Alligator mississippiensis: one gene and its partners. The protein of the gene in region 2 purifies or fractionates together with the protein of the main gene of each other region. This does not show direct contact. Links are inferred from orthologs where the notes say so. Each region holds a gene or a part of one and is shown on either strand. Other genes may lie near its edges.

Region 1 (7,776 bases), on a different chromosome or scaffold from region 2:
TTTGAGAGTGAATCTCACCATGATTTGAGAGCCCATCACCACTACGACAGATGTCTTTGTGCTGGTCCAGGTCCTTGTACATGATGTATTTGTTACAGCCGAAACACTTCTCAGTTCGACTACCGCAGGAATCGAGGTGCTCCTGCAGCTTAGCAGAGGGCATTTCTAGCTCGCAGAACTTGCATTTCATAACTCGTTCGCTGCATTCCATGGTCTGCAAGTGAACAGTCGCAAGTGTTACACCAGGAGTGGAAACCCCCCCCCACACAACAGGCCTAACTTGGTTTTAAGAATGTCCTCCACTAAGACCGTGTCTACATACCAAAACGCAGGTGTGTGGTGCAGGTAGGCATAGTGTATTAGGTTTATATTTAGTGAACGCAGGTAAAACTAGAAGTGAAGAAGCAGTGGCCTTGGCCTGGGCTAGCAACCAAGAGTACAAGCCCACCAGAAACCTAGAGGATGCACTTTGGCTACTACACAACCTGAAGCCAGTGATGCCATATGGTCGTTGGTGGTGTTACAGTAGCTAGATAAAAGCTGCCACAGGTATGCCTACAGTCGCACTTCATGTGAAGGTGAACTCCACAGAAGCGATGAAGTGAAAGGTCCTCTCTAAGAAACTCCCTGCAGAAATGGGGTGGGAAGAGGTGTGGAGGGACAGTCTGATGACCAGGGCATACATTTGTTTTAATATAAAAAGATGGATTACATTAAACCCTGGGTCAAATGGCACTATATTAAGATTGCTGACTCTGGGTTGTTCCATGTTGGGGAAGGCACTAATTTGCAGACATCTCTTTGTGGTGTCTCTAAGAGAGATCAGCCAGGTTGGATTCTGGTCTCGCGCACAGAGCAATGGACTCACCTCATGGTTCTCCAGCTGGTATTGCTGCAGGCTTTGGTGACAAAGCTTACACCTGACCTGAATGAAAAGGGTGACAGAATAGTAGCATACTTAAAGGAAAATACCTGACAGCTTATAGAGAATATTTCAAGTTATCTAATGAACCTGCTACCTCTGTAGGTGAAATCGTCCAAGATGGACTCCCTGCTATTTCCATCTTTGGAAAGCAAATAGGGAACCTTGTTCCTATAGGAACTGAGCAATGTGTAGGATTTTCCTGTTCGGGCAGGAGTTAATCATGCTACCAGCTGATTATTCCCTGTGTTTATTGGAGATTAACTTAAATACAAAAGAGCAGGTTCTCTGACGGAGTCCCTTGACTTGAGCGCACAGTTGCCCTTTGGGGAGAAGGGGGCTGTGGACAGAGCTATAGTGTTGCATCGGGCCCTGACCCATCTTCTCCTCAACAAATACAGATGCTCGTGGCTGTTCGCCATGCAGCAGCACAGCCCGGCATGATTTCCGTGCATCTCCTAACTGCAGGAACTGACAGTCCGAGTCCTTGTTGGAAGGTGAAGAGCTCTCACTTGCTTGTGTGCATTTGCCTGATGCTCTCGCATTTCCTTTTGAACAACAGCCTCTTTGCAGTCTGGGCAGACAGTGAGGAACCGTCGGCAGTGGATCTCGTGCAGAGAGAAATTGGCAGCAGACACATCTTGTTTACTGTGTGACACGGAAAGGGAAAGAATATTATGGGATTGGATACGATTCACCTGGCCGATCCCAGAAAACTGACATCAGGTATTTTATACTTGTGTCTTGTTCAAATGAAGCCTTCCAAGACTCAGCTCTGTTATGGAGGCTTTACTCTTTTGCTGAGGACATCTTTAAGGGAACAGGGGCCCCGTCAGGTGATGTGGGTCCAAAATGAGAGAGTGCTTTTACATCAGTGCAAATCAGGAATAACTCCAACAGAGTTACACTGGTGGGAAAGCAGGATTGTGCCCTATGATCAGAGGGGACCAGCAACATCTGGATTCGCAGCGTTCCAGAGATAACGCAGACAGTATTCAGTGGCTCCAGGGCTGGAGGTCTATAGTAGAGGCTGGGTGCTAGTTTCTTTAAGCTATTGCTTTGTGAAGGGACCCCAGATATTAAAGGGAGAACAGAGGGACGGACAATTTGCTCCCCACAATAGTGACCTTTTTGGCTTATAGCTGGAGAGCTAAGTTGCCTTGACACCAGAAAGAACCATTGGACATAAGGGGAAACTGAGCCAGGGACCGAGTTCGTACTGGGTTGTGTTCCAGACTGCAGGAAAACACCCACAGCTTCATCACTGATGGGAATAACAGACTGCATGTAGCCCAGGGGTGGGCAATTATTTCGGGCGGAGGGCTGCTTACTGAGTTTTGGCAAGCCATCGAGGGCCGCATGACAGGCAGCCAGGGCAGATAAATATAAATTTTTTAAACTTTTTAGAGGCCCTGCAGGCTGGATAGAGTGGCCTGGCGGGCCGCATCTGGCCCGCGTTTTGCTGACCCCGATGCAGCCCCCGCCTTTTTAGGGCACACCTCCCCGGTGGGCAGGTTAGTCCATAATTATGGAGCTCTCTTTCCCCTCTTTGAAGCCGCTTGTCCTGGGTGCTGGACACGCAGCACTGCTGACCCAAGCTGCCCCTCTCTGCCGAATCTTTTAGGTCCTAAGCAGCAGGGCAAGGGACACAGCAGGCAGCAGAGAAGCACTGCTTGATCTTGCCTGGGGGATCTAGCCGTCAGTCAGGGAAAAGAAATTGTCTTCAAAATCCTTAGATGTTAAAGGGCAACACAAAGCAATCAGCTGTTCCGATTTGTTTCCTTGGCCTCCCCTTGGCTTTCTCTGTTCAGGGAGAGAAGCGTGCAATACCCACCCCGAAAAGGAGATCAGCAAAGCCCCTGTGCCCCTCGGGTATCACTGGCACTTGGCAAAAAGTAGGGATTTCTTACCAGTTTGGGCAGAACTTGCTCTCGTCTTCCATGGCTGCTCTCGGGCTCTGCCCCTCTTTCTTTTTCACTTCTTTAATCTGACAAGAGAAAAATGAAACTGAAACTGCCAGTCCCAATAACCAACCCCAGACAAGGGCTCGGCCAATTTTTTTTTCTCCATGCAAAGCAGGAGAGTGGGAACCAACAGGGAGCGGCATTGTCCAGTTACTGTCTCGGCTCCTTCCCACAACAGCTTCAATCAAGAAACGTAGCGTCCAGATGACCCGGGGAGGTGGAAGATAGTTTTGCCCTACTCTTTCCTCTGGCTCAAATGAGTTTGAATATGCTTTGTCTAGCAGGCAGGACTCTTTTCTGTAGCTGCTTGAGGCTGTTAGGGGACGAGGGATATTTCACCTGCTTGGTTTTAATAACAAAGCTGCCTCTAGGCAATTTATGAACTGTCAAATGTTGGATCTGGCCCTTTCCTCTCCTTCCTTTCTATTGCCATAGATTTTCTTCCCTCCTTAGCTGATCATGATTGCTTCCTGAAGACACAAATGAGCAGGTAAAGCCTTAAACAGACGCCTCCATGCGAGGCAGAGTGCCTTCCTGGGAGACCACAAGAGGGAGTTCGAAATCCCTCCATCTCCCTTTCATTTCTGTCTCCCTGAGCTCTGCTAGGCAAACTTTGTAGGATCCCTGTTGCAGGACGTGGAATAAATCTTTCGGCTCGTTCGGTCTGTGCCCCAGGCAGACGCAGCATCTAGTCCCCTAGGACATAGTTTCTCAACCTGTGGTACGTGTACCACTGGGAGTATGTGAGACACAGGCAGGGGGTATGTGGGTACCCCGACACAATCTCTCTTGCCCTCTTTTCCTCTCTCTCTCACCCTTAAATCTATGGCAAAAAAATTGGTGCAATTAAAAAAAAATAAATTCCCCAGTAATAATTTTGTGTTCAGCCCTCCTAGCTTTGGCCAACATCACCTCTAGCCCAAGTCCATACTTGAGTTGTGCAACCCTGGTGTAAAAGTTGGCAACCCTACCCACACCAGATCAGACTTCTGTCATATCATGGCCTTATATACACAGCCCTTCTTCCCACATATGGCACACATTAGTTGGAAGAAGTCCAACTAATGTCCATTATAAAATCCCCATGTTGGGGTACTTATTGAAATTTTCAGAAGTTAGGGGGTACTTGCTACTTAAAAGGTTGAGAAACACTGCCCTAGGAGAGGCAGCATCTAGATTTGATATGATGTGAACGTCTACGGTATTACTTCGGCTCTGGGTAAAGAAATAAGAAAGAAAGTAAGATGACCAAAAAGAAAAAGCTCTGCGTCTAGGGTGTTTTAGAGGGAGCTTAGCCCTCATAGTAAACCTTAATGACCTTTTCCTTACAAAAGCTCAGCCAGTTTCTTTCCATTCATAAGGTTTTGACCTCACGAATAGGACCTAGGGTGGGAGTCCAGAACAGAAGGGGAGATGAGGCTGAATTGGAAACAGATTTGCTGAAGAAAGAGAGAGAGAAAGAGAAAGCATCATTCAAAACTAAAAAAAAAAAAATGGATCGGTTAACCTGCCCCGAGTTACTTTGGCCCTGAATCGCGCAGAGCAGGCCTTGGTCTTCTGACTCGCAGGGAAGGTTACCTATAGCTCCTGGGCCTGGGAAAAACTACCTCCTCCTTAGACATCTCCCATGGCGTCTGCCTCCCCAAGCAAGAGCCTCAGTTGTTTTTACAGCTGACTTGTCTGTGACCATGTGACAGAGGCCATTGTTCACTCAGCCAATCAGAAAAAGGCATACAGCCTAATTTCCAAGACAAGTTTCCCATTGACATTTGGGCACTGTATCACCCCACTGGAAACGGAGGCACGACGAGCGCGCTGCCGGGGGTCCCCCATCGAGGCTGAAGTCGAGCGTGGGATAGGATAGATCGGAGCTGCAGATCGGTGCCGTGCCCTAACAGCAACGCTGCCTTGCCATAGAGCCAGACCCTGAATCTCACTTCCAGCTCACCAAAATCACACTGGGGTTTGGGTTCTCTAGTAACCCTCAGCCCCTTTCAAGTGATCTGAGTTGTGAACAAGACCCAACGTTTAACGTGGAGGCATCGAAACGCCTCTTTGCCCTACCCTAGGACCGGTGATGGCCAGGGCGAGAGGGGGCCGCTTCTGCTTGCAGATGTCCCTAGTTTGAAAGGAGGAGGGGATGGCAAGGTAAATTGTTGACAGTGGAAATCATCGCTTAGCCTTGGCCCAGCACAGTTTGTGCCTTGACATTTCTGGCAAACGACATATTCCCTTTTTTTCCTGGAGGAGCAGGCTGACTGGGCTGTGGCTCTGTTCTGGGAGCAGGAATACACGCGTGGGGTAGGATGTGCCTTTTTGACCATGGATCCAATAAAATTTGGATGAATAATAAAGGACTTTTAAGCTGTAAGTTTTCTGGGGGTAGGGACAAGGGGTAAGTGATGGGATAGTAATGGCATTCCTGCCTATTGCATTCCTCTCCCATTTCTCTCCTGCTATGGTTATCTTCAGGACACTGTAGGGAATCAAAGGCTTGAAAAGCCCATATTGGTGAATGAGAAAGCAAGATCCCCTCAGCGCTGATAATGGAAACAAATTAGTACTTATATTAAGGTACCATTTATACACGGTGTATAAAGAGCACATTGACACGGGTTATAAGCTTGTGACGGACAGGATGCGTCATCGATGGCTATAACCACAGCACAAGACGGCAACACAGATGATTTTAAACGACTTATTGATTTGTTGAATTCTACAACTGTTGATTTAATAACTGAATACTTCTTTGTAAGCTCTGTATGAATAGACCGAACTCTAATGTGAAATATGTATGAAAGCATTCTGTCCACTGAAAGGACCGTATTTAGTATTTAGTGTTTGGTTTAGCAACCATGATCTGCTAGTTGTTTTCTAGACATAAAAGATGTGATGGCCTCTGCTCTGAGGGACTCCCGTCCTAAGGATGGACAGGCAGACTGCTAGACAAGCCAGGGGAATGGCTTGTCTATGCAATAATTGCAATAATCTGGAGTTCTGCTCTTGTCTTTGTGCAGCCTTGTGGTTATTGTTTCATTGCAAATGACTCTTTTGACATGAATATATCAGACATCCCTTTTCTAATTAATGGCAACAGTCTCTTTCCTGCAGAGACTTTCACTTCTCCCTTGCTTGACTAGCTGAATCGAAGCCAGGGGGCCGGTATGTGCTTAGTGCTTCTGAAAACTAGGTTCACTTTTCACTGGTATAAAAAGCCCCACTTTCTCAGTGATGAGGAATGGAGAAAGACCCAGAAGAAGGTGCAGGGTAATGAGGAATCGGGTCCCTAGTGTCTCAGGTTGGATGCCCCAAACTAGTGGGCATTTTGGAAATGTAAGCCTTGACCTTTCCCTCTGTAAAATGGGGATGATACTATTCGTTCCCTCGGGTGCTAGAAGACATCGTGTATTTTAATGTTTGTGGGATCCCTCCTCATGCTACACAGGACACAAGTACAAAACACTCTCCTTACCAAATCAGACTTCAAATCTCTCTGGTTAATTTTCTGCCCGTCCAAATGCCTTCTTCTCTTTGTCCTTCCTATCCCCTTCCAAATAACAAGAAGAAACGAGTAACCGATTGTCCAGACTTGGAAATAATTAGTGTTTGTTTGCATTTTGCAACACAAATTATGTAACAAGGCAGAGAAAAGGCTTTTGAAAAAATATGTAAATGAGATGGCAGTCATCAAGAAGGAATGGGTCGCAGGCAGGCAGACAGTCTATTGCCAATTACCAATCAAATACTTCTTTTCCCCCCGGTCTTTCTGCTGTACAGTATTTGAAATTCCCTGGGGCTTCAATTAAACTGTACTGGAAGTACCACCCTGGGGCTCAAAAGTCTGATCAGCATGGCACCGTGACAGAGGAAACCCCCATTGACTTGAGGTTCATAATGAGAGCTTTTGTATAGCCAGTTGTTGGGCACAGGGATTGTACCAAAAGAACTTGAAGTTAAGAGGCTCAAAAGCTCTACTTGGAAAAATATCAGATGCTGCATTGGGGACCTTGCTGAAGGATACTCCTAAAGGAACACAGTGGACTGGCAGAGGCTGTAAAATGTTCTCAGTAAGGAGAAACAACAAGGTAAGGAACAAGTGATGTCCCGTGAACTCTAGTAATCATTCTTTTACTTTTAAGCCTTGTGTAAACCTCCTAGTGCATAACATAATGGTTTCAGATCTGTTTTAGGTGACCGATCAAGTCAAGCATCACAAAGGTAAGTTCTGAACGGGTTGTTTTTTAAATGTAAATCTCACGCGACGGGATAGTATGTTCCTTTTCTGCCAAAACCTAGGAAGTTTCAGGGACGGCCTTTTTTTTTCTTTTTCATTGTCAAGTATCAGAGATTTTGCAGTCCTTTGTTATTTCCATTGTTTCTGTACCTCCAAATGCTGCACTAGTGCTGCTGCAACATTTTAATTGCTTTAAAACAAATTGAAGCACAAGTACGTTTGGAGTGGAGCTAGCAGCTGCATAGGTTAATCTGGCTGTGTTGGCACAATGACATCCTGTTTGCAGAGTTTGTTCTTGTGTGGTCGCTCGCTGTTTGGACTGAAAGTAGGGGCTGGGTGGAAATCATTTCTGCCTCTAAATGCTACTTGCTACCTCCCTGCCAAAGCCCACTCTTGTCTAGAGATAACATTAGCCGGTGGAAGCAGTGGTTCAGCAAGATATACCTAAAAAGTAGTTTCTTGGAAATGAGCTAGGTTACACTAAATAGCCTTTATTCCCTAATTATTCTCTGGCGTTAGGGTGGTTTTGAAACTCTTCCCTTTCAAAGAGACTTTTCTTCTGATGATGCACGGGTTACTTAATTCAGACACTACAAACATATCAGCTGCTGCTAATTATTTCGCTGCAACATCCAACACGATTGTTGACACATCTA
Region 2 (8,923 bases):
TTTTACCGGCTGTGCAGCAGGTGGCTAACTTACTCAGCAAAAAGTAAAGTAGAAATGGTGCTTCACAGAAGAGGATTTAGAGCAGGGGTAGGCAACAGGGCTGTGCGAAACACCACCATCTCGTTTCGACTTCCGTTTTGAAGGCACAGTGTTTTGTTTTGTCATTTCATTTTGAAGCACTGTCTCATTTCGTTTTGTCAAAATGGTTTCAATATTTTGCCCATAGGCTATAATGGGAATCATGAAAATGCCTAAAGTGTTGTCTTTCTTGCCTGATTTAGATGCAAATTGCAGGGATGCTAGCCCCTTCTGAGGGCATGAAGCCTGCCAAGTTTCAAAGAGATGGGTGCAGAGGTTTCTCGGAAACTGCACCTCAAAGTTTTGAAAGCAAAATTTGCCAGCTGTGGGGCTGTGCTGGACTCCTCCTGGGGGTGCAGGCCCCTGGATCTGTGCTGGATGATAGGAGGCTGCTGCTGCCACCTGGGACCAGCGCTGGGAGCAGTCCATGCCCAGCGGCAGGCTCCATAGAGCTCAGCCTGGTGGCAGGAGGTGGAGTGCAGCCCCAGCTCTGCCCACTTTCTGCCGCTGGGCTGAGCTCTGAATGGCTCCGCAGCCCCATGGAGCTCAGCCTGGTGGTGGGAGGCAGAGTGCAGCCCCAGCTCTGCCTGCCTCCTGCCCCGGGCTGAGCTCCATGGGGCCATGGAACTGCTTGGAGCGCAGCCCGGCAGCGGGAGGTGGACAGAGCTGGCACTGCACTCCGATCAGCTCCGTGGGCCCCACAGGGTCTAGCCCGTGGCAGGAGGTGGGGAGAGCCAGGGCTGCGCTCCGCGCTGGGCTGAGCTACATGGGGCTGCAGAGCCGCTTGGAGTGCAGCCCTGGCTCTCCCCTGCCTCTCACCACCGGGCTGGTTCAACACACTTCGAAATGTTTCAAGTGCCCTCATTTCATTTCAAAGCTGTTTTGATGCTTTGTTTCATTTTGATTTTGCTGTTTCGAGCTTGAAATGTGTCGAAACAGCTTCGGAACAAAACAGTGAAATTTTGCACAAGCCTAGCAGGCAACTATTTTGGCTGGAGGGCTGCTTAATGAGTTTTAGTGAGCTGTTGAGGGCCACAAGGGTAACCCTGCCACATGACAGGTGCCCTGCGCCGTGGTCACCGTCTTGGGACCAAAAATCCTGCACCTTGGTATGAGTTTTAATGTAAAGTAAAAAAAAAAATCATGTGGCAAATGTCTTTCCTAGCCCCAAAGGCATTCTTGACCACATCACTACGCTGCTAGGATGTAGGTCGCCAACAGTCTTTACACTGCAGTGTTTTGTTAAGCTGTCTCTAAATTGAGGGAAATGACATGACATCAGCTCACAAATTCTCTCTCACAACCCTAAAGACTTAGAAACTTGCAGGTATTTAAAAAACAAGTAAAAAACAAAAAAAAAAACCCACTCCTCACTAGAAGCAGCAGCATATTGCTTCAAACCAGCTCTGTAGCACCTATATAGGTCAGGCACTTCAGTGGGGCATTTTTTGCTAACAGATTCAATCAGCTATTAGATAAAAGCACCAAAAAAGCCCCACTAAACCACCCAATTTTTACAGACCTCAGGCAAGCCAGGTCCACCTCCTCTGGGTTTACACAGGGCTTGGCACAGGAATGCACCAAGTTTAAAGTAAAGCACTAGGTTTTTCCCCCCACAATGTCTGCAAGCAGCCCTGATTTCTTTTAAGTGATGTTAAATTCTACAGAAATTAATGGATGACCAGAATTCTCTAAGGAATGTTTCTTCTACCCTATCAGTAAATCAAATGAAGGATTTTTCCAGCCATGATTTCAAAGAGGAAAAGTCATTGTCCACTTTTTTTAGGGGGGGGTAGAAAGTGAAGTAAGGGGAAGAACCAGAAGGCAGTTCAGATGATTCAGTTTTCCTTTTACCTTCCTACCAGTGCATCTCAGAGGCAACGCTTCTGAGAGATAAAGGTAACATTTTTAGAGGAAAAAAAAAAAAAATCTCTGTTTTATTTCTTCCTCAGCTGACCTAAACTCTCATCCATTCTTGTTTACTCATCCCATTACTTTGTCCTACTCTCATCCACCACGGATGTGCTATCAATAAATAGAAAAACAGCACTTTTAGCATCTAATGTTACCAGAATTACCCATGAACTCTACTGAAAGAGCTTTCCAAGCCACCCAACAGGAAAAAATTGCACGCTGGTAAAGAGCCCTTTTAAATAACGCCCATTTTTATGCTTTCTGACATCAATGAGATACCACATTAGCCTCACAGTACTTGCGATGGACCTGGTTTTGGAGCGCACTAATGACCGTTCTTTCTGCCACAGAGAAAATTTCTCCCACCTTTGCTTACGGAAGCCAAGGAAAGATGTGCAGAACTTCCTGAACCAGTTCTGGCCTGCGGCTCTTTTCATCAGCTTGGCTCCCATGCCATGTATATAGCTTCTAGCACGTGAACGGTTGCACGATCCTTGCACAACACCAAACAAGGTTACATCCACAAGCATAGGTAGGTAAGGAAGAAAGCAGGACACTTAAAAAATGCAAAATGAGCTTAGTTTAGCAAGCTCATACAAACAAGACAGGCCAAGACAAGCACGAGCACCCAGCAAACAAGGAAGAGAAACAGAGAAAGCTAACCAGGTCCCATCACTTTAGAGAAAACCCCAAAAGACAGTTTTGTATCGACATCAATCATGATAGGCTTAAGGAAGCAGGAAGGCATCTCTCTGATGTGGTTGATCTTCATAACACGTTTGGTTTTTCTCACAATAGGTGAACTTGGCCAAATTTGGACCCCCGCAGGAGCACCGCTTCCTGCATGAAGTCAACAGCCCTGTTGTGTTCAAGGCATTACAATAAATATTGTGACCTGCTGAAGCACCACGGCTGGGATTAGACATCCGCTCTGCGCCACAGGGTCTGCATCTTGTATGACGGCGGCGAGGTAGAAGCAGCCCCTTGTGCAAGATGTCTCACATGTCAGACTCCCCCTCCCCCCAATAAAAACAAAACAGACAAGAAAAATAAAGACCCACCAAAAGGACAGCTAACACATCTGAACACGCCTGCCTTTTTAGGGAACGAACATCAGCACTTCTAGTAAAAATGATGTTTAGCAGTTCTAGGATGCTGTATATCACCGAAATCATACCCACGATGAAATGTGAATGTCCTTTAAAGACCGAGTTGCATGCAAACAGTTGAAAACTACCTTGCAATGCATCCACCACAAAGCATCAGCACGACAGACCACCACTGAATAAAAAATAAATAAATAAACAACATAAAAATCACATTATTAAATACGTAGGGAGGAAGATCAGAGAAGAGACCGATCCAGCGCACAACCGCACGAGCAACAGGACCTTGCAAAGGAGTTTCTCAGCGCTGGCAAACCAACAGGAGATGGTTTCTAATTAACGATGGGCGAAGAAGGGGAACGGCGAGAGAGGAACGGGAATCTGCGTGACGGCGTGCGTGCGTCTGCGCACTTCAGAGGATGCGCAAAGATCATTTTAGGGCACCAAGAGTTCTCGATTTTTGCCTTTCTTTGGGTCTCAAACCAACGCGGCTACCACGTACATCCCCGAACCGGAGTGCGAGTCTCAAATGAAAGCAGTATCGTCTCTCTCGCATCAGGCCTTCGAGATCACAGGAGACCCGAACAAATGTGGAAAGTGATTTCTTTGCGCAGGAGGCGGCAGGGCACGCTGGAAACATTTGCGGGGTGGGAAAGAAAGAAAGAAAACCTTATTTTGGACGAGGAAATCCCTAATTCAGCTCTTCTCGAGTAATCCTCACCGGGAAGAGACTGGCGGCGTGGCCGGGAGAGGCGAGGGCGACCCGAGGGGCCGTCTTCGATGGGGACAAGGGGCGGTGGCGATGAAAGTTGGAGGAGCTTTCCCACGCGAGACACGCTTCTGCGAAAGTCTCGTCTTTGACAGGGCCGCGGGGGCCCGGCCCACACCAGTGCCGTGCCCCCGGGGAGCCGGCAAACCAGCCCCGGCCTCTCGCAGCCCGGCCCCGGCGGAGCCCGCAGCACCGGCCCCGGGCGGGGGAGGCCGGGCTGCCGCCCCGGAAGGGCCCCGCACCCGCACCCGCACCCCACCCCCAGCGCGGGGGACCCGGCACCCGCCGGCGGCACGACACGGCTGGAGAGGCCGCCCGCGACCCGCGACCCTCCCCCCGGAGCAGCCGGCCGGGCCGGGCCGGGGCCGCTCCCCTCACGCTGCCCCGCCGCACTTACCGCCCGCAGCACCAGCACCAGCACCAGCACCGGCTCCGGCGCGGCCGCCGAGAAGATGGCGGCGCCCAGCCCCTCCGCCCTCCTCGTAGGCGAGCGCGCAGCGCCCCCTGCCGGCCCCGCGCCTCTCCTTACACACGGGTGTGCGCGTGCGTGCGCGTGTGTATGGATTTGTGCGTGTGTGTGCGCGTATATCTGTCTATGGATACGCATGTGTGTGATGTGTGTAGGTGTAATAGATACATACCTATATACACACACATACCACATCCATATGCACATATACACACACACAAACATGTCACTATCTATTTATAGATCTATCTATACCTAGACCACTATATAGATAGATCTATCTATACACGTATACCTATATATCTATACCTATGTAAGTATAGGATAGATAGCTTTATATCTCTATATCTATCTATCTATAGATAGATAGATATAGAGATATAAAGAGATACTGTAACCATATAGATAGATAGATAGATAGATAGATAGATAAAGATATATATACACATAAAGCTATCGATCTATCTATATGGTTACAGTAACTATATAGTTCTTTAACTCAGGACACAGAGAAACCTCCATATACAGTTACTATATAGTGACATATGTTTGTGTGTAAATGTGCGTGTACAGGTACCTGTACAGGTTTTCCTCACTTTTATGCGGGTTCTGTATATGCAAACTCACTCTCATGCGATGACCTTTTTTATACCAAAAATGTGTTACATGCAAGGTAAATTCACTCTTATATCAGCAATCAGTGCAGTGGAAGCCCGCAGTCAGCTGCTTTTTGCGTTGTGGGAGTGGCGGATGCCAAAATATAGTCTCTTGTGTTGCTCTGTGCTTCTCGCTCGTTGCCCGCAACACGTGTTTCTGCAGCTGCCATCCCCATTATGATAGTGCCCTGTGCTTGTGTGTACTATCTGCTGTTGGTGAGTACCAAAATTGTCTTGCAAAAGTGGTAGAAATGGGTCTGGAGGTCAGTACACTCAAGGTCTTGGAACGTACCCTATTTGTTACATTGTAAAGTGGGATCCCTTTATGCGAATTTGAGTTTTGTGCCATTTTCCAGGAACACATGTACAGCATAAAGCAAGGGAAACCTGTATATGGATATGCATGTATATATTACTTGGTATATATGTTCCCATTAGATACACACACACTTTTTTTTTTTTTAATCTATATATAGCTATAGCTATCCATCTATGGGGGTGTAGATATACGAGTACCTGTATGTGTATACATACACAGTTACATATAATGTGGGAGTTCTGGTTGTGCTAGGCTATATGTATGCTAACTGTTGTAAGTTGTACTGCTTTTTGGCACCATAAGAGAAAAGGGGCCTCATGACTGCTGGATGACCATGGCAGGCTCATGCTTGCAGTGCCACCACTGGCATGCCCTGCCCACCTGAGCACTGCCCCAAGGCCTATTTTCCTGCCACAACTTAATGTTGTTTGAGATTAGTTGCAGGTGCTGCTCAGTGCTTTCCTCTGGCCCCTGGTGGCTCAGCCAGTAGGTCTTCTGTTGGGCTCCACCACCCCGACACCTCACCCCTTTCCACTCAGGTGGTCCACTCTGGTCTTGGCGATGTCTGGGATGGGTCGCTGGCATTGCCCATTCTCCTGGCACAGCTGCCTACACGGTCCCCTGTGGGAGCGTGGTGAGGCCTTCTTGGCCGACAAACGCACAACTTAATAATGAAACTAAAAGTGCACACATGGTGCAGGCAGGCAGGGCATTGTTGGTGCCTGCACCTAACACTCCAGTGCTCTGTGTTCAGCAAGGCAGACTTCACTTGGCCTCCTCTGGCTTTCCCTTTGTGGGTGTTCCCCAGGCAAGCTGGGATCCTAGGCCTGCTGACACCTGTCACGGGATGGGGTCACCAGGGATGGCCGTGATACCCCTATGGCTCCCTGACCATGCCAATCCTGCCCAATGGGCACCTTTTCTTGCCTGCCACATCTTCATGTAACTTTATGAAATAGGGAAGCTGCCCTCAAATTTGTTTGGACATGGTCTCGATGGACCCTACTGAACCCGGTGGGTTCTTGGACGCTTTTTGGGTCCCGCTCCAAAAGGGATGTCTCAGGACACCCTCAGCTTCATGGGCTACATGCATGGCTCCAAACCATCCCTTTACCATGCCCCAAGCCTCACAGATGGCATTCACACAGTGTCCCTCCAAGGCCTTAGTTTCACTTGGCGTCTGGTCAGCACTGGGCTCTCCGCAGCCTTGTCTCCTTCTCTCCACACCCCTCGGTGCTAGGATCCATGCACCCCAGATACTGCGCCCACACTGGCGCTGGGGTCCCCACACTGTAGTGGGTCCCCAATGAGACCTCCTCCTTCCCCAATAGCCTCAGCCCAGTCTACTGGCCTTACAAACAGAAATCAAAATACAAGCCCCTGGGCTATAACATAATTCAAGCAGCTCAGGGTGTGCTCTGTCCCTTGAAAAGAACCACTCTTCCCCAGCACTACAGGCCTTGTAGGCCAGGGTATCTGGTGAGCTCCCAAAGTCCCTTAATCTTACCAGAAGCAAAAAGACAGTCAGGCCTCTTCCCTTAACTTTTTCTAGAAGAGCTCCTTCCCCCTTGACTACTGGCAAAGAACTGACTCTCTGGTCTCAGCCCTGGGGTTTATATGAGCCCAGGGCCCTGCCTCTTCCAGTCAGCTGACCAGGTGCAGGTGCAGGCTAATTTGCTCGTTAGCCTGTTGCCATGGTAACCTACACCTGTGGGCTTCTGGCTGGCTCTTTGGGCTCTCTCCCCAAGCAGTTTCTGGTCTTAGAGGAGCAGGCACCTTAGTGCCCTGTGACAGCACCCGGCCATTTACCCCAGTACTTCAGGCTATGTCCTCTCACGCTCTCAAGGATCCTCTGTGACCTCTGCTTCCCTACCAGTGGATTTTGGGTCTGTACCCACTCAAACGCAGTGGCTATAAGGATCCCAGGTGGATTTTCTTCCCCATCAGGCTCTACCAGTCCTTCTCGGGCTGGCCTCTCATCCCAGCTGCCCATTTGTGCCACAGGTTGGTGAGCCCTACATGACAAAATCAAGATTCAGTTCCCAAAGTTTGGGTATTGTACAATACAGTGCCTTCATTTCTAACAAGTGTGACTACAGGGATTAAAATATTTTTTAGAAAGCAAAAAAAAAGCACTACATCTGTGGTGAGAGCAGTCAGGCTGACTCTGATTCCCAAACAGCTTGGCCCACTTCTATTTCAGAGTTTGAAACAGAACAGGGAAGCAGTGAGTAGTTCACTGGACCAAGATTAATGGTCTCTCTGGTTACTTAGCAGTAAAAACAATCATGTCACTTGAAAATACTTCCCTTTGCAGATGGACTGGTACAATATTGGTAGATTAGCTATAGCAAGTAATTAGATTGCAAAAGATTGTGCTAGGAAATGTGAAACTATGTCCCAACATTTGTCTAGGTGTAGAAAAAAGATGATACTTGGCTGGACCCATCCTTTAATTTAAAATTGATTGTGTTCAGTTCTTATGAAAATCAATTGAATTACCTGCATATAATCAAAAACAGAATTTACCCCACTGGCCTATGTATAAATTTGCACTGTTTTTTCCAGACTTATGTTAACACGTTCTTTCTCTTTTTTGCAGAAAACCTATTATCTCTATGTTATTGCCTTTTATTGATTAGAGGGCTGTTCCATTTGTCCTTAGGTTAGTTTGCTGCCAAGCATTTGTCCTGTATTTGCGTTTTGTCCCTGAATGGAAGTTTCTCTGTATCCCAAATTAAAGAACTTTTAATCCACATGAGGCAATACCTACTCCATTCTACATATGAGTCTACGTATATAGTGGGCAAAATGCTTCCTCAGTGGAGCACTGGCTATTCAGCATGCCATACAGCAGTGGTTCCCAATCTTTTTTATACTGTGGACTGTCACAGGAGTGGGACAGGGCACATGGAGCCAGCTGCCTCCCACCTGGGGCTGCCCCACTGCCCAGCACATGACTGCTGGCAGCGGAAACTGCTCACCTGGGCTGGCAGCCGGAGGTCCAAGTGGGGGGCTCGTGCCATGACTTGGCAGCTAGTTAGGAACCTCTGCCATACAACACCATGAAGACAGCACCGACTTTTACCTGTTATATTCTGGGTTGTGAGAGAAGCGAGTGTATAAGAGTGGAGAGTTTTGTAGCACAAGAGAGACTTGGCACATCACAGTAGCTATCACATGCCAGGTTGGAAGTCCATCTGTTTCTTCCACCCCAGATCAGGGGAATAATTGATCTTAGGCACTTTTTTACCCACTGCAATTTATTTAAGCTTACTGCAAGGAACATATTTAGGCTCAAAACAAAAACATATGGAAAGCTGTTGAAGAATTCATATGCTGTGGGTAAAGGGTCTTTGGCTGGGAATTGTTTAGGACAGCAGGTGTGCTTAGTTGTGTGTAGGTGGAGAATCGGATAACACATGGACAGAGAGGCAAGGAAGTGTCAGTAAGTCTGAACAGCATGTGCACAGCTCTGAGAGAAGTGTGGGCGTTTGGGGCAGGGGTTCTGGCTGAAAGAGCTCTGGAGCTGTGTATAGGGAAACAATCTCTGGTTGTTCCAGTCCTCTTGCATTCAGGATTGCAGAGCGATCTACATTCTTGTACGTAAAA
Region 3 (8,138 bases), on a different chromosome or scaffold from region 2:
CAATATAAACATACAATACACATCAACCTCATTGTTAACTCCATCCACTAGAAGTGCTAGTTATTCAGCTATAAAAAGATGATTCTTCATAGAATTTATAGAGACATCTTAGTCGCAAAGAGGTACTGGCAGATCATTAAAATTTAGACTTCAAACATTGAGCAACCACTGCAGAGAACTTGATCACCAACATCACTGTAACTAGAAGAAAAAAAGAAGTCAGCTGAGCATCCCCTATTTCTTGTACAGTATTTAAAAAGAAAAGGATTCCCTTCTCTCTTCAACAGCTACTGAAAGCAAGAGAACCCCACAGAAATTACCAGGCTCCCATCAGGCATTTATACACATGCTCTGGGAGTGGGGGGGAGGGTGCTGCCCTGAACATCTCAGTCAGGCACTTACACATCATATACGAGCAGACTGTCTCAATCTGATGCAGCTGCATTTTTCCCCCTTATAAAATTATGATTCTAAAAGCAAGCTTGAAACCATCACGAAGCACTTACTCGATGGTGCAACACATGGAACAAATGACAGTGTTACAGCAACTGCAGAGTTTGCTGCAATGCTGACATATCAAGTGATCACACTGCGTGCAAACTTCTTTGATGTCTACGGTCCGTATGCACGAGGAGCAGGCTTTGGAAACTCCCATGGGTGGGGCTATTTGGGAGACAAAAACAATACTTTATTATTATTATTAACGCCAGAACAGAAAATTTGAACAAATAACATCTAGAGCCCTCCAAAATCCATAGGAACCTATTTACCTGCAGTCAATATTATTATAGTTAAGTAAGCACAAAACTGAAAATGTGATAGCTAACATCTACCATTCCAGGCACTAGATGCATCCCATGTTTTTAAGATTAAATGAAGAAAGACAAACTATTTTGTGGCAGCAACACCCAGTCTACTTATCCGTTTGGTATCCCAATTTCACCAGCTAATCCTAACTCAGGGCTGTCCAACTGGCAGCCTGGGGGCAGCATGCAACCCATAAGAAGTTATTAATTTGCAGCCTCCATAGTCCCACCTGGTTGCTCTGCCCTCTGATGCTCCAGCTGCAGCAGCAGCAGCATCTCCAGGCTTTCTTCTCTTCTGGCTTCTGCTTCACGCCTAGGGCACAGGGTGACATGGTGCAGTGTGTGGTAGCTTGCAGCTTGGGGCACCCACATGGTGCAGAGCAATAGGGAATCCTAGTTGTGAAGCAGAGGATGGCAGCAGCGCCAGCCCCCAGCAGCCCTGCACAGCAGCCCTGGCCCCCATCCTAACTGCTAATTCTGACAGGGCAAAACTTGACGTCAAACCCATCAAGTTCCACCTAAAAATAAGAGCTGTGTGGCCTCTCTGACAGCATCAGCTTGGTGCTGGCCAGTGAAGCCCTGCACAGACACCACCCCAGGGGCAGGACAGGGAGGGCTCTCAGAGGGAATTTTGCCTCCCTTTGCAGCAGGGACATGGCCCTACCTGGGACCTCTTAAGCGTCTATTGATAACATTTCACAGGAGCAGGATGTTGGCTGCTGCAGCTCCCCCACTTTACCTGTGCAGGCCAAGCTGTTTGATCTGTGTCGCATCAGGGCTGACAGAAGGTTTATGAAGATTTGATGATGGATTGGTACAGGGTGGTTTGGCTGGGGACAGAAATGTGGGGTGGAAAATTTTCCGGTGCTTTATTTTTCCAGGGGAAATTTTCCATTTCTAAAAATTCATCGTTTCATAAAATTCATTAGTAACAATCAATGGATGCCAAAACAAGATTATGCAAGCTTGGCAGTTTCAAAGATGCAATTAATGTTTTTTAGGTGATTATCCCTAGGAAGTGTGGGAGAGAGCACATATATGTTTTACCAATTTGTAAACGGGAGGGTGAACACACACTCTGAATCATCCAAACCAAAAATCAAAGTTATGAATTCACCTAATTGGCTGTGCAAGTTAAATCAAAGCCAAAGCACGGCACGTCGTGCACAGTTCTGCGGGTGTGCTAGAACTAGTGTCAGAAGCAGCGTACCAACGTAACTATAGTTTCTATGTTTCAAGGAGTTTTAAAGACGTAAAAACTATACACCTGCCCTGAACATCTCAGCCAGGCACTTGCACATCACATACGAGTAGATCGTCTCGACCTGATACAGCTGCATTTTTCCCCTCATAATTTTATGATTCTAAAAACAAGCTTGAAACCATCACAAAGCGCTGACACCTCGTAAGCGTGTCAGCAGTTTTCAGCGCCTTTGTTTAAATTAAAGGGGGAAAAAAACAATATACAGGATGTACATGCTGTTGTGTACTGGCTTTATAACTATTCCAATAAAAATAATAACTTCTTTCCACATAAGCATTAACACCTGTTTGAATACACACGCACATACATATTCAAACACAAACAAAACCTACATTAACTGTGCTGTTTTTAATTTTCCCCCCCTAATCAAATCTCTGAGTTCAAATACTTGTGGCTATCCAGGCATAAAATTAACATGGGGGGGGTCCTGTTTTAGCTTTGTTTATTAAACGCAAAGCAAATAAAGGTGCTAAATCAGATCCGGCTCTACTTAGGAAAATTTCCAATTTAAGGTTTTCCGGAAAACCCAGGTCCCTGCCTCAGCTCCCGCCCAGCCCCACTTCTTTCTCCGCCATGTTATTGATGGGGCTCCCTCCAAGGCAGCCCCACGCCCAGGGGGGAGGCGGGATGCCGGGTCCCGCCTCTCGCAGGAGCGCGGCTCCGGGTCCGGGTCACTCACCGCGGTCGCGGGCCGGGCGGCGCAGCAGCCTCCCGTCGGGGCCCAGCAGCATCTGTCCCGCGCTCTCGGGCTCGCCCGTCGGGTCCAGCAGAGCCGGGTGCGGCGGCGGCGGCGGGTCCGGGCGGGCGGCGCGCTCGGGGCAGGCCTGGGCGCCGCGGAACAGCAGCTGCCGCGTCCGCTCTGCGGGGAGGGGGCGGGGAGGGACACACACACACACACACAGGCACGGTGAGCGGGGCCAGGCGGGCGGGCGGGCGGCACGCGCGGACCTCCCCCCCGGCCCCGACCCCGGGCCTCACCGTAGACCTGGCGCCGGTACGTGTCGCCCGCGACCCCGCGGCTCATCTCGCGCAGCCCCACGCGCGTCTTGCGCTGCGGCGCGGCCGCCTCCGCGAAGGGGCAGCGGCGCTTCGGCATCGCTGCCGCGCGCGCACCGCCCCGCGCTACGTCACCGCTCCGCCGGCCAATCCGCGCGGGGGGCGGGGCCTAGCCGCCTACGGAAGCTGTGGGGCCGCCCTGGCGCGGACAGGGCGGGGTTGGAGCTTGGGGGCGGAGCTTTCCCCTCAGGAGTCGTGGGCGGAGCCCGGCCCGCTGGAGCGGGCGGCTGCGGTGCGGTGCGGTGCGGTGCGGTGCTCGCCCGGGGCCCTGAGCGCCCTCATTTTGATGATGATTTTCGATTTCAATGTCACCCCGCCCTGCAGTGACAGTGATTACAGTGTGGAGAATACGGTATGGGTAACACAAATGTGATCTTGTGTTAATGACAAATATCTCAATACGATACAGATGATACAAATATCTTCTATTAATTACAAATATCTCAATGCACTATGGATAATACAAATATTAATTACAGGTATCTCAATACGATATGGATAATACAAATATTATCTTCTGTTACAAATAAATACGAGATGGATAATACACATATTATACTGATTACAAATATCTCAATATGGTATGGATAATACAAATATTATCTTGTATTAATTACAAATAAATACAATATGGACAATACAAATATATTAATTACAAATAAATACAATATGGACAATACAAATATATTAATTACAAATAACTCAATTCGATATGGACAATACAAATATATTAATTACAAATAACTCCATGACAGTATGGATAATGCAAATATTAATTACAGATATGGATAATACAGATATTATCTTTTATTAATTACAAATATCCCAATGCGATATGGATAATACAAATATTCAGTGGAATTAATTTTTACAAAGTGTGGGGTGCTGGGTGGTTGCCCAGTTTGCCCTCCCCTGAGGCTGCTACTGATTGCGTTCTTGGGGCCATAAATGCAGGCTGGCTACATGTGCAACGTAGTCCTTGTGCCATAAAAGTGGCTCTCCAGCCGTACAGAGAGCCAAGCTGCCATTAAGTTAGTGCTTGAAGATGTGTAGTGATCACCAGCACCAGTCTGGCGCTGGTTTCCGTCCGGCTAGGGTTACCAGCCCTCCAGGATTGCCTGGGAGCCTCCAGGAATTAGATATAAAGCTCTGGGATACTGCTGAAAGTCACCTGGGAGATAAATGATAGGCCATCCATTAAAATAAACATGAAATGTCGAATCCAATTTATATAGTAGTCCAGTGGGTTTTTTAAATGTAATAGTAATGTGTACTTGCCTTCTGGTGCAAAGTCATTATGTCATGTAATGAAATCTCCCAGAATAGATTTAAACAGAGCTGGCAACCCTACGTCCAGCTTTCATTCGAAGGCCTAGCAGGGCCCTGCCATAGCAGAGGGCAGATGCTGGAAGGGGACAGTGAGCAGGGACTGAGCAGGGGGGTTTCCCCTGTTCCTCTCCCGTTTGCTGCCTCCAGCATTTAAGGTCCCAGCAATGCAGAGGCTGTGTCTATGGCTCCCACGTTCACCCTGGAGCACCTCATGCACTCCCTTGCCACCTAATTAGGCAGCTGTGGCACTTTGGCATCTATGTGCAGTTGTATTCCACCCAGCTTGCAAAACTGAACACAAATATACAGGTAGTCCTTGGATTTACGACACAATGGGTTCCTGAAAAACGCATTTTAAGTCGAAACATTGTAACTTGGAACCGATTTTCTCATAAGAAACAATGTTATAAATGGGGGATTGGTTCCTGAACCAAGGCCAGATTCTGTTTTCAGCAAAAATACCCCAGAATTTTGTACTCGATCAATTATAGATGAATAGTATACATTAATGTATTTATATTGTAAATAGCAATCTCATTGATTTGGAAGGACTTTGAGGTGACTTTGCTGGACTTTTTGAAGGGCTCTTGGTTGGACTTGTTGAAGGGTTCTTGGCTGGAGTCTTCTCAGGAGTCTAGGCTGTAGGTTTTTCTGGAGTCTTGTCTCCTTTCTTAAACAAAGTGTCTAAGGAAGTTTGGACAGATGTTCTCCAGGGAGATGAGCAGCGCAGCCGACTTGTTTGCTGGCGTGGCGTATCAGATCAACCATTGAAAAAACGAAACTGACGTCATAAAGTTGAAACAGGGTGTCAATTTATAACCGTTGTAAGTGCGAAACGTTGTAACTCGAAATGTTGTAAGTCGAGGACTGCCTGTATGTGGGTTGCCCTGCTTTATGCCATGTCATCCTACATCTTGGATGAAGGCACGTGATAAAATGTATATCAGTACTAATGGTTTTTAAGGAGCCCAAGCAAGGTGGAATAGGATCTCAATTAAATGACCTGAAAAGGCAGAAAAAGGTCTCAGGCCTGCCAGTGGTTAAGTGCCTAATGGTAGCACAAACCCGTGAAATCCTAGGTAGATGGACTGTGTTCAGCACCTTGCAGTTTTGAGCATTTCTATCAGAACATCTCTGTGCTTTATGAAGGTGACCAGGTGACTAGCAAGGGTGAACTTGAGCTAAGTCTTTACAAATTAGATACTATATATGATTTCAAGAAAAAATTTGAAGACAAAGTTGAGAGTGCTCTTTTGCTTGTGAAGAATAACACTCTAAAACTTTATCTGAGAAGAAGAAATAGGTTTAAAAGGGGTCGGCGTGTACTATAACTGCACTGCTGGATCTTTCATTTAAGGGTAAAAAGGAGGGCAGTTTCCCTGAGGGCTGACACATGACACTGTCAAGATGTTCTGTTATGATTACTTTTGCAACATGCTGCCATCACCTCACTGCAGGGCAAACTCAGAAGTCTTCTGTTGCAGCCATTAGAGTCTGCCTCAGGTGGCAACATCTCTTCCTTAATTGCTTCACAAGCCTAATCCTTAACAACATCTGCTGCTGCTTGGGCTTTTTTTTTTTGTTAGTGGAAAGGCAAAATAATTCTGTCTCATGTGCATCAACATGATTTGGTATCCTATAAGGAAAAAGCTGGCTCATCTGCTAGTTTTTTTTACTCTTTACCCAGTAGAACAGTCCAGTAGTGTTTATTAATCTCACAGAAATAAGCCTTGAGGGAGATCCATTGGTGATTTGGAAATATAAAGGAAGACTGTTCTGATCTGGCTGAGCTTGCCAGCATCTAACATTCATGAAATGTAATGCTGACAATTTCTGCTGATGAGACTCTGTTAGCCTAATTTAGCCTCTGTTAGCTTAAGTTAATGCACGTTATGATCATGTGTCTACACATGTATGCCCTTAATGTGCATTAAAATGGTGAAATTAGGCTAATCACACAAATTTGATACCTGCAAATGCAGGTATCAAATATAGGTGTGACTAGTTAAAGCGCATTAATACATGTGTAGACGTGACCCAACACTAACTTTAGTGCTGGGTCTGCCCAGCCACTAGGGGCACAAGACAGGGCTGCAGGGACTGGGCACTAGCTTTAGTGCCCAGTCCCTGCATATGTAGATACACGTAAAAAAATTCCTTAATGCATCTTAGCTTAATGCTCATTAAATTTATTTGTGCTTAAATGCATGTGTAGATATGCCCTGTATTATGCTATTATGCTTCGGGAAAAATCTAACCTACCAGTAGTAAATGAGAATGTGAACATTTTCGTTTTTCTTTGAAAATGCGATTGTGAAAGAAAACCCAGTAAGAAAGGAGAATCCGACCATCTTAGTTGTACTCTTCTTCCAAGAAACATTTAACATGAACAAATGGCTGGTGAAAAGCTTTCTTACTCTCCAAACAAAGCAAAAACTGAATTTTATTTTTTTCTTCAGTGTTTTCAATTTCTAATTGGCAAATTAATAATTATTAAATTATTACATTATTAATTATTATTATTATTAATAAATTATTAATTTGCAAATTCAGGCACAAACCATACATCTCCTGATGCAGACTTCAAACATCCCAGTTTGTGAGTACAGGTTTCCCTCAATCTATGCGGGTTCTTTATATGCAAATTCACTCATGCAATGAGCATATTTAGACCCATAATTCATTATATTCAAGGTAAATTTGCACTTATGTGATCAGCATAGACACCCCGCCGCCCAAGCAGGTAAGTCTGTGAGGGAGGAGTGGGAAAGGGCCGTGGCCCCACTCACCCCAGTCCCAGCTGCAGTAGTCCCGGGAGCACCTGGTGCCAGCTGTCTGCAGCCACTGGGCTGCACCATGCTCCTCCGCCTGTCCTCACTCACCTCTGCTCCTAGGTTGCGCCGTGCCCTGGTGCAGGCAGCTGGAGTTGGCTGCTCCTGGGGCTGCTCCAGCACGGGCTGGGGTGAGTGCTGTGCCCCGCACTGCCTGGGGCTCCGCTTGTCCACACTCACTCCAGCATGGGCTGGAGTGGCCCCAGGAGCAACCAACACCAGCTGCCTGCATCAGGGCACAATGCAGCTCAGGAGCAGAGGTGAATGGGGACAAGCGGAGCCCAGGTGCAAGGCGACAGGTGAAGCATGGTGCAGCCCAGCGGCTGCAGGCTGCTGGTGCCGGCTGCTCCCGGGGCTGCTGGAGCTGGGGTGAGTGCTGCTCTGCTCCCTCTGCTTTGCTGTTTTGTACAGCCCTGGGAGCAGCACCCCTCCTCCCATCCCTTCCTTAGTCCCAGTCTCACTCCCTTTCTCCCTCCGTGCCATGGAAACCTATCCCTATTTGTTACATTGTAAAGTGGATTTGCTTTATGCAAATTCGATTTATGCGCCGTTCTCTGGGAATGCATGTACCTCATAAATCGAGGGAAACCTGTATGTTTACTCTGGGGTTATGTTTCAATCTGCTTTGAAAACAAGGGTTGTCTACAAAATATGTAAATTTAGATTTTGAATGCTGCAGTGAGCAATGATGATATCTTCTTGGTCTGGTCTACCTCTAACATAATTAGCACATGAAAAATGTTGTTACATTTCAGGTATGCTTTCAATCACCCCAAGTATAACTGTGTTTCTTAAAGGGTGTTACTGTATTTTCTCACAAACTGCATGCCCCAGAATATAATACACACCTTG

What was found. The genes of interacting proteins can lie anywhere in the genome.
Region 1: the proteins of XIAP (region 2) and XAF1 purify together in Homo sapiens (affinity purification with western blotting; 5 studies listed by BioGRID). This does not show direct contact. The link is inferred for Alligator mississippiensis from reciprocal best matches to the Homo sapiens genes XIAP and XAF1.
Region 3: the proteins of XIAP (region 2) and SIVA1 purify together in Homo sapiens (affinity purification with western blotting; 3 studies listed by BioGRID). This does not show direct contact. The link is inferred for Alligator mississippiensis from reciprocal best matches to the Homo sapiens genes XIAP and SIVA1.

The regions. Positions count from the first base shown.
Region 1 is NC_081837.1:9,464,316-9,472,091, reverse strand, and holds the start of XAF1 (XIAP-associated factor 1), read right to left. Parts: upstream 3,203-7,776; 5' UTR 3,030-3,202; coding exon 2,833-3,029; intron 1,571-2,832; coding exon 1,435-1,570; intron 926-1,434; coding exon 869-925; intron 215-868; coding exon 19-214; intron 1-18. UniProt on the Homo sapiens protein: Seems to function as a negative regulator of members of the IAP (inhibitor of apoptosis protein) family. Inhibits anti-caspase activity of BIRC4. Induces cleavage and inactivation of BIRC4 independent of caspase activation.
Region 2 is NC_081831.1:71,243,316-71,252,238, forward strand, and holds the start of XIAP (E3 ubiquitin-protein ligase XIAP), read right to left. Parts: upstream 3,271-8,923; 5' UTR 3,256-3,270; coding exon 3,230-3,255; intron 1-3,229.
Region 3 is NC_081825.1:288,974,041-288,982,178, reverse strand, and holds the start of SIVA1 (apoptosis regulatory protein Siva), read right to left. Parts: upstream 3,203-8,138; 5' UTR 3,167-3,202; coding exon 3,049-3,166; intron 2,930-3,048; coding exon 2,750-2,929; intron 1,637-2,749; coding exon 1,546-1,636; intron 1,120-1,545; coding exon 1,037-1,119; intron 664-1,036; coding exon 507-663; intron 202-506; coding exon 144-201; 3' UTR 1-143. UniProt on the Homo sapiens protein: Induces CD27-mediated apoptosis. Inhibits BCL2L1 isoform Bcl-x(L) anti-apoptotic activity. Inhibits activation of NF-kappa-B and promotes T-cell receptor-mediated apoptosis.